Pelodiscus sinensis: one gene and its partners. The protein of the gene in region 2 purifies or fractionates together with the protein of the main gene of each other region. This does not show direct contact. Links are inferred from orthologs where the notes say so. Each region holds a gene or a part of one and is shown on either strand. Other genes may lie near its edges. The genes, in order: MACROH2A1, HDAC2 and GTF2I.

What was found.
Region 1: the proteins of HDAC2 (region 2) and MACROH2A1 purify together in Homo sapiens (affinity purification with western blotting; 3 studies listed by BioGRID, with this or other methods). This does not show direct contact. The link is inferred for Pelodiscus sinensis from reciprocal best matches to the Homo sapiens genes HDAC2 and MACROH2A1.
Region 3: the proteins of HDAC2 (region 2) and GTF2I purify together in Homo sapiens (affinity purification with western blotting; 4 studies listed by BioGRID, with this or other methods). This does not show direct contact. The link is inferred for Pelodiscus sinensis from reciprocal best matches to the Homo sapiens genes HDAC2 and GTF2I.

The regions. Positions count from the first base shown.
Region 1 is NC_134727.1:29,456,985-29,461,790, reverse strand, and holds the start of MACROH2A1 (core histone macro-H2A.1), read left to right. Parts: upstream 1-1,594; 5' UTR 1,595-1,749; intron 1,750-4,806. UniProt on the Homo sapiens protein: Variant histone H2A which replaces conventional H2A in a subset of nucleosomes where it represses transcription. Nucleosomes wrap and compact DNA into chromatin, limiting DNA accessibility to the cellular machineries which require DNA as a template.
Region 2 is NC_134713.1:81,521,554-81,526,359, forward strand, and holds the start of HDAC2 (histone deacetylase 2), read right to left. Parts: upstream 3,522-4,806; 5' UTR 3,364-3,521; coding exon 3,312-3,363; intron 1-3,311. UniProt on the Homo sapiens protein: Histone deacetylase that catalyzes the deacetylation of lysine residues on the N-terminal part of the core histones (H2A, H2B, H3 and H4).
Region 3 is NC_134731.1:24,126,976-24,131,781, reverse strand, and holds the start of GTF2I (general transcription factor II-I), read left to right. Parts: upstream 1-1,364; 5' UTR 1,365-1,651; intron 1,652-4,806. UniProt on the Homo sapiens protein: Interacts with the basal transcription machinery by coordinating the formation of a multiprotein complex at the C-FOS promoter, and linking specific signal responsive activator complexes.

The DNA of each region.
Region 1 (4,806 bases), on a different chromosome or scaffold from region 2:
GGTTTGCAGTGTGGGTAGGGGAGTTGCAGGGGAAGAGGGCACAGGGCTATTCTGTCAATGTGAAGGACTGAACATAGAGTGGGAGGCGGAGGGGGGCTCTGTGCACGGGGGAGGAGGAGGAGAGAGAAGTGGGGGCTCTGCAAGCTAGGCAGGGAGCCAGGGTCTCTGTGCACTAGCGAAGGGAGGGATTCGGGTAGGGGACTCTGGGCACTAGGGGAGAGAGGGGCAGAAGGGTTTTTTGCACTATAGGAAGAAGGAATGGTGCACTAGGGGAAGGAGGGACAGCTTTTTTGCACTAGTGAAAGAGGGAGCTGTGCACTAGGGGAGGGACAGAGGGATTTTTTTGCACTAGGGGAAGGAGAAGCTGTGCACCAGGGAAGGGAGGAGCACAGGGGTTTTTTTGCACTAGAAGAAGGAGAAGCTGGGGGCCAGGGAGTCTGTGCACTATGGGAAGAAGGAGCTGTGCACTAGGGGAAGGAGGGGCAGAGGAGGTTTTCCATCAGTGGAAGGAGGAGCTGTGCACTTAGGGGAAGGAGGGGCAGAGGGGGTTTTCCATTACTGGAAGGAGGAGCTGTGCACTAGGGGAGGGAGGGGCAGAGGGGGTTTTCCATTAGTGGAAGGAGGAGCTGTGCACTGGGGAGGGAGGGGCAGAGGGGGTTTTGCACTAGGGAAGGGGAGGGGAGTGAAGGGCAGAGGGGGTTTTCCATTAGTGGAAGGAGGAGTTGTGCACTAGGGGAGGGAGGGGCAGAGGGGGTTTTCCATTAGTGGAAGGAGGAGCTGTGCACTAGGGGAGGGAGGGGCAGAGGGGGTTTTGCACTGGGGGGAAGGGCAGAGGGGGTTTCCATTAGTGGAAGGAGGAGCTGTGCACTTGGGAGGGAGGGGCAGAGGGGATTTTGCACTAGGGGACGGAGGGGCAGAGGGGGTTTTGCACTAGGGGAGGGGAAGGGCAGAGGGGGTTTCCATTAGTGGAAGGAGGAGCTGTGCACTGGGGACGGAGGGGCAGAGGGGGTTTTGCACTAGGGGAGGGGAAGGGCAGAGGGGGTTTCCATTGTGGAAGGAGGAGCTGTGCACTGGGGAGGGGAAGGGCAGAAGGGGTTTCCATTAGTGGAAGGAGGAGCTGTGCACTAGGGGAGGGAGGGGCAGAGGGGGTTTTGCACTAGGGGGGAAGGGCAGAGGGGGTTTCCATTAGTGGAGGGAGGAGCTGTGCACTGGGGAGGGAGGGGCAGAGGGGGTTTTGCACTAGGGGAGGGGAAGGGCAGAGGGGGTTTCCATTAGTGGAAGGAGGAGCTGTGCACTAGGGGAGGGAGGGGCAGAGGGGGTTTCCATTAGTGGAAGGAGGAGCTGTGCACTGGGGACGGAGGGGCAGAGGGGGTTTTGCACTAGGGGAGGGAGGGGCCGAAGGTTTTTTTGCACTAGGGGAATGAGAAGCTGGGGGCGGGGGACTCTGTGCACTAGGGGAGGGAGGGAGGGGCTGGGTAGCGGCAGAGGGCTCCGCGCGCTGGCGATGAACCCGACCAGGCGGCGCGCGACGGTGGGAGGGGGAGGGTGGGGCAAGCTCCGCTCCCAGCACGCGGCGGCAGCACCAGGCGGGGCTGGCCCAGGAGGGGAGGGGAGGGGATGTGACGAGGCGCTCGCGGTGCATTGTGGGACCTCACCCAGCCGCTCAGGGGCGGACTTGTTCCAGTTCACACGGCGGCCGAGCCCGGGGAGCGGACGGTCGGGGCGACGGGAGACATTTTGCCGCTGCCGGTAGGTCGGCGCCGGGCGCGGCTCTCGCCGGCTGTCCCGGGGGCGGGGGGGGCTGGCTCCCGTCCCCGTATCGCTCTGGGGAGGGGCTCTGGAGCACCGGGCGGGTCTGCCCAGCGGGCAGCTCCTGGGCGCTGCGAGCCAGGGACGCACCGGGCGCCTCGCCAGCGGGGTCTGGGCAGAAACGAGCTCGCTGGCCCCTTCCTGACGGGAAATGGAGGGATCCTGGGGACCCCCCCCCCCGGGTCCTCCGAGTGGTTTGTCTCCCGGGACTCCGCTCCCCTCTCAGCATGAGGGGCAGTGGGGTCCCCTTGCCGCCCAGGAGCAGGGCGCTGAGGCTGGACGGAGCCCACTTAGTACCAGCAGTCGCAGCATGTTGCACAGAGATGTAAATGGAGGAGTCTGTGTTGAAACCAGCTTTGCCTCCCTCCCCTCCCCGCTTCCTCTTCTCTCCCACCGGGTCATTGGACAGGAGAGGATAATGTGTAGCGACTGCAAAAAGGAATGGCCGGAGCACAGCGGGAGGACATTTTTGGTCCACTCTGCCATTGTCGCCTCGTGCTGAAGTGCAAAGTTGTGTGTGATTGCACAAGGGGGAAGGACTTACGCCTAGGAAGAACTAACTGACATTTTCTGAAAACAGAGCAGCCTCGCAGTGGAAGAAGTAAATATTGGGCAAAGGAATGGCTGCCACACACATTATTTTGGGGCTGTCATTTTTAAAGCCTGTGCGGTTCTTTCCGACAAACACATCACGCTCTAGGCAGCGTGTGGGTGTTTCTCGCAGGAGCTGCACCCTAGCTGCAGGTATGGCATGCTGCAGGTGAATACAGGTTTCTCTCAGTATGAGGACCAAACATGGATTTGCTGGAAAACTGAAGGGTGTGTATGTAAAGAAGAAAGTAGTAGGAACAAGTACACACAAGTTCTTTGTAGCTAATCTCTTGGTTTTTTTGTTTACTGTGAAGTCTTTAAAAGTTACTTGTAGAAGGTCCCCATTTATACCTGTGGCAGACATGAGGGGCCAGATTTCATTTAATCAAACTAATGTAAAATGTGTCTATTTATATTGATATTACATTGACTTGTTGAATTATGGCTTATGATTTCATATTTTGACCATTAGAATGAGCATAATATTTTTCTAAGATTACACTATGACTGTCACAAAGCAACAGGTATGTAAGTAACTTTATAGCTGAGGCACCTGCCTAAGTGTTTGGTAGAAATAGATGAACCAAATAGCAAGTTAGTCTTTAATTAAAGAATGAACCCCTGGGTTCTGAGGCATAGAATGGAAATAAAAGGCATAACACAACAATTACAGTTTCTCTGATAATCCCTGTTTTGTTTTTCTAGATGCATTTGGTTATTGGGAGAATTTATACTGAGCATCCAATTTACCTAGATTATTATTGTTTTGTTTTTTATTGTTTAAACAGTTGAAGGAATTACCTTTAAATATTTTAGATCCAAATTTTAATTCCAAGGCATTTTGTTCTTATGTGATGACATGGCAAAAATGGTGTAAAGAAGTGAAACCTTTCAGGCTACTTGAACACCTACATGAAAACCTATATAAATATATGTATATTTTGTGTGTGTGTGTGTGTGTATATATATATATAGAGAGAGAGAGTGTGTATATATGAATATGTATATATATTCCATTGAATTGAATGCAAGTTATTCATACCAGGCCAAATTGTGTTCCACCTTTGCAGTGATGTAAACTGGGAGAATTTAACACTAACACTGAAAGGTACACTCAGGTGTTCCTGATTTTAGCTCAATGTTTAGCAAAAGTATAACTGCTGCAAACAAAAGAAAACTTGTCTTGGTGCTGCAGAGTTTCTACTGAATAACAAGGAGTTCCTTAAAAAGAGCCTTTCTCTGCATGACAAATGGAATAGTGAAAAAACTTTAAAAACGACCGAATGGTCCTGCAGCACCTTAGAGACTAACAAAAAATGTAGCATCATGAGCTTTTGTGGGCACAGCCCTCTTCTTTAGATGGAATAGTAACATTCCAGAACAGTAGTTTGGATCCAAATTTCCCCTTCCTTTCAAAATAAGGAAAAGGTGATATATATTTTGCACTATGATCTAAAGGCCCCAATCAGCCCATTATGGTAGGTAAGTACATAACAAAAAGACATCTCCCCTGCTCTGCATGCTTACAATGTAAATATATGACAAGTAACAAAAGTAGGAGGAAAGGAGAAGGCCTCAGAATTTTAAGAGCACTGTGGAGAAGAGGGGACCCGGCCCAAACATCTGCTCAGCATTATGCTTGAAAGCACTCACAGCGCTTCCCAGATATCCAGGTTGGAGGAGAGGAGCATAACTACTGCACCTCCTGTGAAGAGGGGTCATCCCTCTTTCCTGAATGTTGCTCAGTTAAATATGAGGGAGGGATGGTCCATGGCTATAGTGCCTTCTCCCTTGCCAGCCCACATTGGAAAGACTGACATTATATATGGGCTGACATTGTTTTTACAGTCAAAGGAGTTAAGTGTGAGGATGTCATTGTGCCTGGCATCCACTTAGCCTGGTCCTTTTACCCTCTTTCCTATTTGTTCACCTGCACAAGGACCAGGCAGCATTGTTGTCTATTGTTAAACTTATTTTACATATGGATTGTGGCTGGAAAACACCCACTTCGACTGTTTGTTTGCATTTCTGTCAGCTTACAAAATACTGGTTGTGGAATTTCTGAAACATTCTTTCATGGAAATGCATATGTAACCCACACACCTAGTGTGGTTACTGAGTACTGCAAGTGGCACCTAGACCACTGCAATAGTTAAGATCAAGAGACCTCTACAGCATGGGCTGGGAGCTGGCTTCCTGTAGGTTCCTGTAGTCAGCTCCAGAGGTCTTAGGTCCAAATCCACCTTTGTGGTGGTTACACATAGTCTTTCTGGACATACATTCCTAATTCTTAAATGGTTCAATGATTTAAAACCCTTTTTGTCTTAATTGTATGTACATACTGTGTTTCTCTTACAAGAGGCTTGTTTTTCCCCAGGTGTCACCTTTGCAAAAAGTGGAGCTTTG
Region 2 (4,806 bases):
CATAATTTGAATAGAGTTTGGGCTCCACGGTGGGGCTGAGGATGAGGGGTTCAGGACAGGACTCTGGCTTTGGGGAGAGAGGGTTCAGCCTGGGGCAGGAGGGGTTACCTTCAGGGGCTCCCAGTCAGTGGTGCAGCAGGAGTATTAAGACAGGTTTCCTGACTCTCTTGGCACTGCAGACCAGGCTGCACCCTAGCCTGCCAATAGGAGTATGGAGCTAGCGCTCAGGGCAGGGGCAATGCCCTGTGCACTCCTTCCCCACACCACCTAGGACAGGGGGTTAGCAATGTACAGCATGTGTGCCGTAAATGGTGCACAAGCTGATTTTGAGTGGCAAATGAAGAGCTCAGCTTCGCTCCTCTCCCACGCAGCAGGGAGCCAGTGCTGCCGCTGGAGCCCTCCCCCATTCCCTGGCAGCAGGTTAGGTTGAACTGTGCCCAGTGGCGGTGGGAGGAGGCAGCGCTGGGAGTAAGCCGGCCTGGGACTGCAACAGTGGCACCTCTGGGGCCAGCAAGGGACTGTGTGGCTGCAGCAGCGGTTCCTCCAGCGCCCTGGGTCAGCCCAGGAACACATGGCTGCAGCAGTGGCCCCTCCGCTGCTTGGGGCAGGCCCGGGACCGCTGGTGATCAGGCCGCCATGCAGGACAGCTGGGAAGTCACCACACAGTTTTGGCCCCAGATTCAGCCCTGGTAAAGGACTACAGCTGGGTTAAGGCCTTGTGGTTGCTGCTTCTGGGGCAGGAGCTAGGGCGGCAGTGTGGCATGGGAGAGCCAGGGAGCTGCTGTGGTGGAGGATCAGGATGTCATTCTTCTGCTATCATCACTAGAGGAGTGGCACTGGAGACAGAGGCTTGTGTGCTGCTTAAAGTGTCAAACTACAAGCCCAAGATCAGAGAACTCAGCAAGGGAAAGCAAAGCCAAGGATAACACTAAATGGCAAGATCTGCATTTTTATTTATTGGCAACGACTGTGCTAGGCTGCATACTAGTCCTAGTCACTAGATTGAAGATTTGCATTAGCAGATATCAGAAATGCTGGTTAATTGAGGTTTCAGGTTACCTAAGTGCCAGATAATAGGGCTTTAACTATACTACTTTTAGATCACACTGGCTGCGTCTACACTGGTACGATCTTGTGCATAAGCAGCCGCTCTTGCGCAAAAACTTGTTGCCTGTCTACACTGGCTGCATGTTGTTGCGCAAGTAAACTGATGTACTAATGTATGAAATCAGGGCTTTTTGCATCAGAACTCTGACGCTCCTGCTCAGGAATAAACCCTTTTGCGCAACTGTTCTTGCGCAAGAGGCCAATGGAGACAGGCAACATGAATTTCTTGCACAAGAAAGCCCTATGGTTAAAATGGCCATCAGAGATTTCTTGCGCAAGAGAGCGTCTACGCTGGCAAGGATGCTCTTGCGCAAAAGCACATCTCTTGTGCAGAAGCACATGACAATGTAGACGCTCTCTTGCACAACTACTTTAACGCAAGAACTCTTGTGCTAAAGAGTTTTTGCGCAAGATCACGCCAGTGTAGACGTAGCCTTAAGGCTGTAAGCATTTTTCCCTTTACATTCAGTAGTAAGAACATTTACAAACCTGTGTGGGTACAGCACAGCATAGAAATTAGAAGAAATGCTGAGTGAACTGTAAGTGGATTAGGAACTTTCCTCACAAGTATCAGAATTAGTTCTTAAAATTTCTCTGATGAATACTGCTAATTTCTAAATTTTAACCTATTACACTTAAGAAATCTAAAATAAACATTGACTTTGACATCTTATACAATACTGGTTTCAGGTTTAAAAAAGTCTTTTGAAACATTCTAACTCAGGTGAATACTATAAATATTGATGATCATATTAGATAATGGGAAAGATGCTCTCTTAGATCCAGAGAATAGCTATATAATTAGAAGTCTGAACAATAATAGAGGAAAATACTGAGTTTCCAACTGACCAAAGAACAGCCACTTTCATGGATGTCTGAGATAGTAGGACTGATTTAATTATCAGCTCATCACCCTGCCAACACAGAAGCATAGACCCAAGCAATGGCGCTTATTATTATTTTGCTACTACTAAATGCCAGTGTTGAACTCTAGTGAAATGGTACCCATATTTATCAAATGTACTTTGCTCTAATACACTGCCCAACCACGTAACTACATTTTTAGTGACAGACTGGCAAATATAACTTAAAATAGCAATGTAATCTTCCCTTCAGCAAGACTGTCTACTCTTCTTCCAGAGAAAAGTCAGACACCAGTTTCAGTAAAATTTTCCTTAACAGGGCCTCCTTTTGCCCTTATGCTGAACAAAGAACCAGAGTGAAGGACAAAGAGAAGGGGGCGGCAACCACATCACTCTGCCTAACTTGCCAGCATGTTAGAAAACCCTCACCAGGCCCCAACAAAACTGCCGTTTTTTCTGACTACACAAGGTGAGGTAATATCTTTTACTGGATCAACTTCTATTGAGGAGAGAAAGCTTTCTCCCAGAGCTCTTCTTCAGGTCTGGAATTTCTGACCAACAGAGCTACCATAGTAGCAGCACTTCTGGCATCATCATGGGCCGATGATACTGCTCTCCTTATCCCAAACTGTGACAAGGCAATGAAATAGGTACTGCAAAGCAGCCTCATCCCCTCTTTCTTCACTGCAGTCAATATCAAAATTCCCGATCTATGCCACCCATTCTCAATAGGTAGTTCCGAGGCATCTTTCTTTATGTAGAAATTTAGCTCCAAACGAGTGAGCTGAGCAATACCTTTAGCCTAGCAAGCAAAGGGGACAGACGGGTTTCCACTTCAGGGCGTGCTGCCAACACCTGAAACTCAGTGCAACCCAAATCCCAAGCACCGCTTAGCTATGGATGACTGGTTAAGCCACAGGACCTAGTGCGCTGCTGTGATGAGCCGAGGGGCATCCGGAGCCAAGAGGTGAGCGCGCACAGCAACCCGAGCGTCTGCCCGGCCGGGGGAGGCTGCCAGGACCTAGGGGCAGCCGCGGAGATTCAGGACCCACCAGTCGCCCGCTTCTCCTCAAGCGACAGGCAGGCCCCCAGCGGGAGCGCTCCCCCGCCCCGGCAGCTACGCACGAGCCCGGGCGCAGCCCCTGGCGAACCCCTCAGCCCAGCGGCCTCAGGCGCGTCGCTCGGAACCGGGGCTGCGATCGGCCGCCGCCGCCCCGACACTGGAGCGAAGCGCCGCGCCGAGGTGCGGGGAGCGGGGGGGGGGGAGGGGCACGACGGAGAAAGCCCCGTGGGGGGGGGGGGCGGGAGGGAATCGCAGGGAACCAGGGCCCCGCCGCTCACCGTCATAGTAATAACAGACTTTCTTCTTGCCGCCGCCCTGACTGTACGCCATGGGGCCGCCGGGAGGCTGAGGCCGAGCCGGGCGGGAGGGAGGGAGGAGGGAGCCGAGCGAGCGTGAACTCGCGACGCCGGGGGCAGGAGCAACGCACCGACCCGACCATCAACAGCGGGGAACGGGGACGCGCTCACTTTGCAGCCGACCCGGGGGGGGGGGGAAAGGGCCGGGTAGCGCCGCGACTCCCGCCACCAGCTCGGCTGGGCCCGCCCGACACCTCCCCCCCGGCGCTGAATGGGGAGCCGCGCGGACCGACCGTCGGCCGGCCCGAGCGGGAGGCAGCGGCGGGAGGTGCGTCCCTGACAAATCAAATAGGGATGGGGCCTCTCCCCCTGTCGCAGTGTTACACAGTGGTACAGCCCGCCAGACTGCCTGCGCGAGGTAGCGGGCGACGCGCGCGTTCTCTCCCCCTCCCCACAATGGGGACGGTGTCTGCTCATGCGCAAAGCTCACTCCCCTCCCCTCCACCATCGGTCTGAATCGCGTCACGTGCTTGGGAGGAGGCGGGGCGGGGCTGCGCATCACTCCAGGCTCCGCTGTCTGACCCGGCACCCCAGAGGGGCGGCACGAGCGCACCCGCAGCTGCCACCCTGCCCCCGGGTGCGAGGCGGGGCCGGCGTGAAGCGGCCACTCAGACAAGCTCGTTGCAAACAGGCCGCGACTGGTCGCAAATCCCCCATCTTGTCTCCCCATTCTGGGGCGCCATTTCCGATTTAGGGATGGGGGAGGAGGGCTTTAACCAGCATTGCACCCCAGAGGCTACTTATGCACTTGGAAATTCCCGAGTTTTTTTTTCAAGTGGTGTCTCAGAAATCAGCTGACAGGCACAGCGGTCCTAAGTCTTGTATAAAGAAAAATATCACAAATACCCATTAGAGCCCCATTTTAAGGTTATTCCTACGTTTAGAACATGCAGCAGCAAGATATTTCCAACCCCAAATCTTGAGGTGTCAGTTTTGGAGCCTTAATACAAGTTTGATACCATCTTTAGTAGAGAGAAATAAAATCTGCTTAGCCTTGTATTTTTTAAAAAAAGTCTTATGCATGGGCAGCAGGTAATTTAGGCAAGGGAAGGCATTGCCTTCTCAAAACTGCCTACACTGCCCAGCCACCTAGAAGGGGCTGGGGCCATGGCAGCCCAGCAGCCAGGGAAAGCTGGGACTGTACAGCTGCCAGTCCAGTGGCCAGGAAGGCTAGGGCAATGCTGCATGGCTGGCACCCTGCTCTTCGGTGACTGGGGAAGGCTGGATCCGTGACACTCAGATGCCACTGACCTCGGGTGGCGATAGAGGAGGGGAGGAGAAAAGGTTATGAAGGGACATGATCTTGGGAAGGGGTGTGGCTTTGGGTGGAAGGGGCAGAGCCTTTGCTGTCTATCCCAGCTGGGCCTTTCCCCCACCACCCATGGTTTTATGGTCCAAATTGTGAAGAGGTGAATGA
Region 3 (4,806 bases), on a different chromosome or scaffold from region 2:
GTACACATCTACTTTGGGTCCATACAGTGGTTAAATTCCCCCACAAATGTCACAATGTGCAAGTGTCAGTGATGCAAAGATTCATATTCACGGCAACCTCAGGATCAGGTAGTAAACAATGCAGGCGTGGGCATTTCCCGTATTTTTGGCAAGGGGAGGGGGTCGTCGTTCAGCTGAGTAAAGCCCTGGCCGGGTTGATTTAGATGCGATTGGTCCTGCCTAGAGCAGGGGGCTGGACTTGATGCCCTCCTGGGGTCTCTTTCCAGTTCTATGATTAGGGGATGGATTGATGAGATAACATGATCTTGGTAACTAATTGACCATTCATTTTCAGTGGGAAATACGTCAATGGAGGGATGGTAGGAGTTACTATAGAGAATTTCTGGGTGTCTGGCTGGTGAGTCTTGCCCACATGCTCAGGGTTTAGCAGATCGCCATATTTGGGGTCGGGAAGGAATTTTCCTCCAGGGTAGATTGGCAGAGGCCCTGGAGGTTTTTCGCCTTCCTCTGTAGCATGGGGCACAGATCACAGCTGGAGGATTCTCTGCATCTTGGGGCCTTCGAAGTATTTGAAGGCTTCAATATCTGAGATATAGGTGAGGGGATTATTCTAGGAGGGGTGGGTGAGATTCTGTGGCCTGCACTGTGCAGGGGGGCAGACTAGATGATCATAATGATCCCTTCTGACCTTAGCGTCTATGAGAGCAAGGGCAGCCTTATGGCAGCTGGTCTTTGTTTACACGAGCCCCCCTTTGCCCAAGCCAGGATACAGTGGGCAGGCCCAGCCCGGGCTCAAGCGGAGAGCAGGGCCCGGCGGGGCGGTTTCCTCTTGCGTGTGGCGGGGGCCGTCCAGCAGCTGCCATCTTGGCCCGGGGCCGCAGGGGAGCAGAGGGCTCCCGGGCCAGCGGCCTGTCCCCGCTGTGGGTGTAACGCGGCTGGGCTGCTTCCCCCCGGCAGGCGAGCACTGTCCAGCCCGAGGCAATGGAGGGGGAGGCAGGGCCTGCTCTGAGGCCCAGCCCGGCTGCTTCCCCCTCAGGGCTGCCCAGGCGACCGTTTAACGGTCCGGGCATCCCCGCCCCACAGCGAGGACGACGGCGGCCGCGCGGCGCCGCGCTGGCGGCCCCAGCACGCGCCGCGCCGCGCGGCCATGTCCGCCTCGCCCGCCTGAGAGGCCAGCGTCGCCCCCCTCTCTCGCTCCTTTCCCCCTGCTCCCTCCGCACGCCGCGGCAGCGGGTCGCCTTCGCCCGGGGCAGGCTGGGAGTTGTAGTCCGCCGGCCGGCCGGCTTCCCGCCGCCCAGCGCTTGCCGGGAGGGGTCCGCCGAACTGCAACTCCCGGCAGGCGCTGCGGCCCGCGCGCCTGCGCAAAGCGGCTTTCCTCGAACAAAAAACTCCCCTCTCGGTCCCCCCCCCCCCTTCGCAGCGGTCCTGGGTTCAGGGTGAACGACTGTGTGAGGGGACCAGGCCCGGCCGGCGCCCCAGCGGACGCGGTCAGCGAGCCCCCGCCGGACGAGTCGCCGAGGGGACAGGCCCTGCTGGGAAGCGCCTGCTGTGAGCTGGGATTAGCGCGGCCTCCCCTTGCCCCGAGGCGGCGGCGTCTCCTCGCCGACTCTCACCAGGACCCGGGCTGCCCTGACGCGGCGGCGGCCAGCCAGTGAGTGAGAGCCCGGGCCGAAGGGGCTAGGCCGGGCCCGGGGTGTCCCCGTCGCTATTCCCGCGGGGGGGGGCTCACCCCCCTTCTGGTCACTATTCCGCGCGCCCGTGGGGGGGGGGAACTCGCATGCCCCGCCTCAGTCGCTAGTGAGTAAGTGTGAATGTGAGTTGATGGGGGGGAATAACTCACATGCCCCGCCTTAGTCACTAGTGAGTGTGAGTGAGTGTGATGGGGGGAAAACTCACTTGCCCCGCCTCAGTCACTAGTGAGTGAGAGAGTGAGTGTGAATGTGAGTGTGATGGGGGAAAAACTCACATGCCCCGCCTTAGTCACTAGTGAGTGAGAGAGTGAGTGTGAATGTGAGTGTGATGGGGGAATAACTCACATGCCCCGCCTTAGTCACTAGTGAGTGTGAGTGAGTGTGAATGTGAGTGTGATGGGGGGAAAACTCACTTGCCCCGCCTCAGTCACTAGTGAGTGAGAGAGTGAGTGTGAATGTGAGTGTGATGGGGGAAAAACTCACATGCCCCGCCTTAGTCACTAGTGAGTGAGAGAGTGAGTGTGAATGTGAGTGTGATGGGGGAAAAACTCACATGCCCCGCCTTAGTCACTAGTGAGTGAGAGAGTGAGTGTGAATGTGAGTGTGATGGGGGAAAAACTCACATGCCCCGCCTTAGTCACTAGTGAGTGTGAGTGAGTGTGAATGTGAGTGTGATGGGGGGAAACTCACATGCCCCACCTTAGTCACTAGTGTGTGAGAGTGAGAGTGAATGTGAGTGTGAGTGTGATGGGGGGAAAACTCACATGCCCCGCCTCAGTCGTGTGTGTGTGTGTGTGTGTGTGTAAGAGAGTGAATGGGGCGGGGGAACGCATATGCCCGCCTTGGTTGCCATTCCCCATGGTAGAGGAAGAACTCGAATCCCCCTTCCCCCCCTTCCTTGGCTGCTACTCCTGTGTGACTGTGAGAGATTCATTTCCTCTCCTGCCAGCTTTGCCCCTCTTCAGTCGACATTCCTTGAGAAGTGCTATACCCCGCCAATTCCCTTTCCCCCTTATTGGCCACCTCTTGGGGATGTCTCGGTCTCCCTCTTGGGATTGGTCCTGCCTTGGGCTTGGGGCTGGACTTGATGACCTCCTGAGGTCTCTTCCAGCCCTAAGATTATGTGAATCTCTTGCCTGCCAGTTGCTACTGAATGCCATCTCATTTCCGCTTCTGCTGGGGGAGCTTTCACACCTCTTCCAGCGCCAGTCATGGTTACTTTGCTGGTGGAGCGCAACACTCTCCATCTTTGATCATGGCCATTGGAAGGAAGCTGTTCCGAGGTTGTGCATTGGTGGTGGCTGTGTGGTCCTTGCACTGGAGTGCCACAGCTTCTCATTGTATGGCATATGCCAGATCCTGGTGAGGAATGTGGGTGGAAGAGAAGTAGGGAAGGGCAAGTATCTGCTTCTTGGGAGGGGACCATAGGGATTGTATTCTAATTGACCCTTCTTAGTTAACTCGTCTCTGGGAGTCTGGTGGGTTCCAGAAGGAGAAGCTTAGAGGGTTGGCTTCATGCTTGAAGTGCAAAATGGGAAACAAGGAGTTTAGACCACTCTGCTTAGCATGAATGCTTTATTTTCAAATTCCTTGACTTGCACCTCTTTTCTCTTGTGTATTGAGGATGAATGAGACACAAACTGAGGCTCAGCACATCCTGGGGCATTCTCTTTTGAGAAGGGTTACAAGGAAAACATGTAGTTCTTACCCTTCCCTGCCTGTGTCAGAGATGTTTTTTCTAAGATAAGGACTCTTGTAACAAATTTTTTTTTTTGTTTAACCAAAAGCTTTGTCTCCTTTCTGCCTGTGAAATAACTGCAGTCATTGGGTTTGAATATTATTAGCCTTTGATCTGAGTGGCTAATCCAGGTTTTAGGGATGTGGGGAGTTTCCACCAATAGGAGGAACTGATGAAAGTGTCAGGCACCTTTGATGCTTTGTAAAAGTATTATTTCCTCAAACACAGAGTGAAGCAAAAATAACAGGAGGTAGTTTCTTTGCTTGCATCCCAAGCTGCTTCTTGCCAGCTTGACCAGGCTGTGTCTCTTTTGCTCTTTTCAGTCTTTGTTCCTCTCTCTGTCTTCTTGAGCTGTCTGTCCCACACACTAGAGAGCCAGGTTTGCTCTAGAAAGTTTTGCTGGCATAGCTATGTTGGTTAGGCATGTGGGAAGAAAATACCCCTAAATAGCATAGCTATGCTGGCAACCCCCCACCCTCCATGCAGATGCAATTTATACTGGCACAGCTTATGTCTTGTGGGGAGGTTGTTTTTATACACTGGATTTCCATTAGGGGGCTTTGCCAGAAGAAACACTGGTGTATCTTTATCTGCACAATATTTAGAGTAAACTTGCTTTTCTTTCATGTAATCTGAATGAAGAGCTGCAGTTCAAGCTGATACACTTAAAAGTTTTTTCACCTATGAAATTATATGTATTAATGTAAATATCATCAGTCATAACTAGCACAGTTACTGTGCATAATTTCGTATTTTGTTTCTTTTATTCTTCGTTGTTGCCTGGAATGGTGCAAAAAGACACCAACAGGGTAGCCTGCAGGAAAAAATGATAGTATTGTATTTGTAGGTGAAAAAGATTGAGAACCAACCTTTGGTTTATGTATGTGCTTTACATTTTTCTTTAAATGTTTTAATCTCTTTCCCCTCTTGATCACTGTCTCACATCCATCCCAGGTTGCCCATGTAATGGTAGCCTATAGGAGGGATGTTAAGTAATGTGTATTCGTGTAAATGAATAGCTGCTGACATTTTTAATGTTTACACGCTGGATGGGGACAGGCAAAAAGCTGGTGCTTGTGGCTCTTGCCTCCCTCCTCTGTGGGATGCAGAGGGGGAAGGTAGCTTTGCAGAAGCCAACTCCCCTCATGTCCTCTCCTGTCTGCTCCTCTCCCCCCCAAAAGTTGCCTCTGGGGTGCAGCAAGTTTGGGGGAGGGGCCAGGCGACTGTGGAAGCGGACACATATGGGGAGCTGGCTTAAAAGTTGGCTCTCCATGTGTGCCAGCTGCAAGGAGCCCCCTCCCACACTTCCTGCATCCCACAGAGGCAGCGGTGACAGGGGCAGGCGGGAGCCGGTACATGCGTGAATCGACTTTGAAG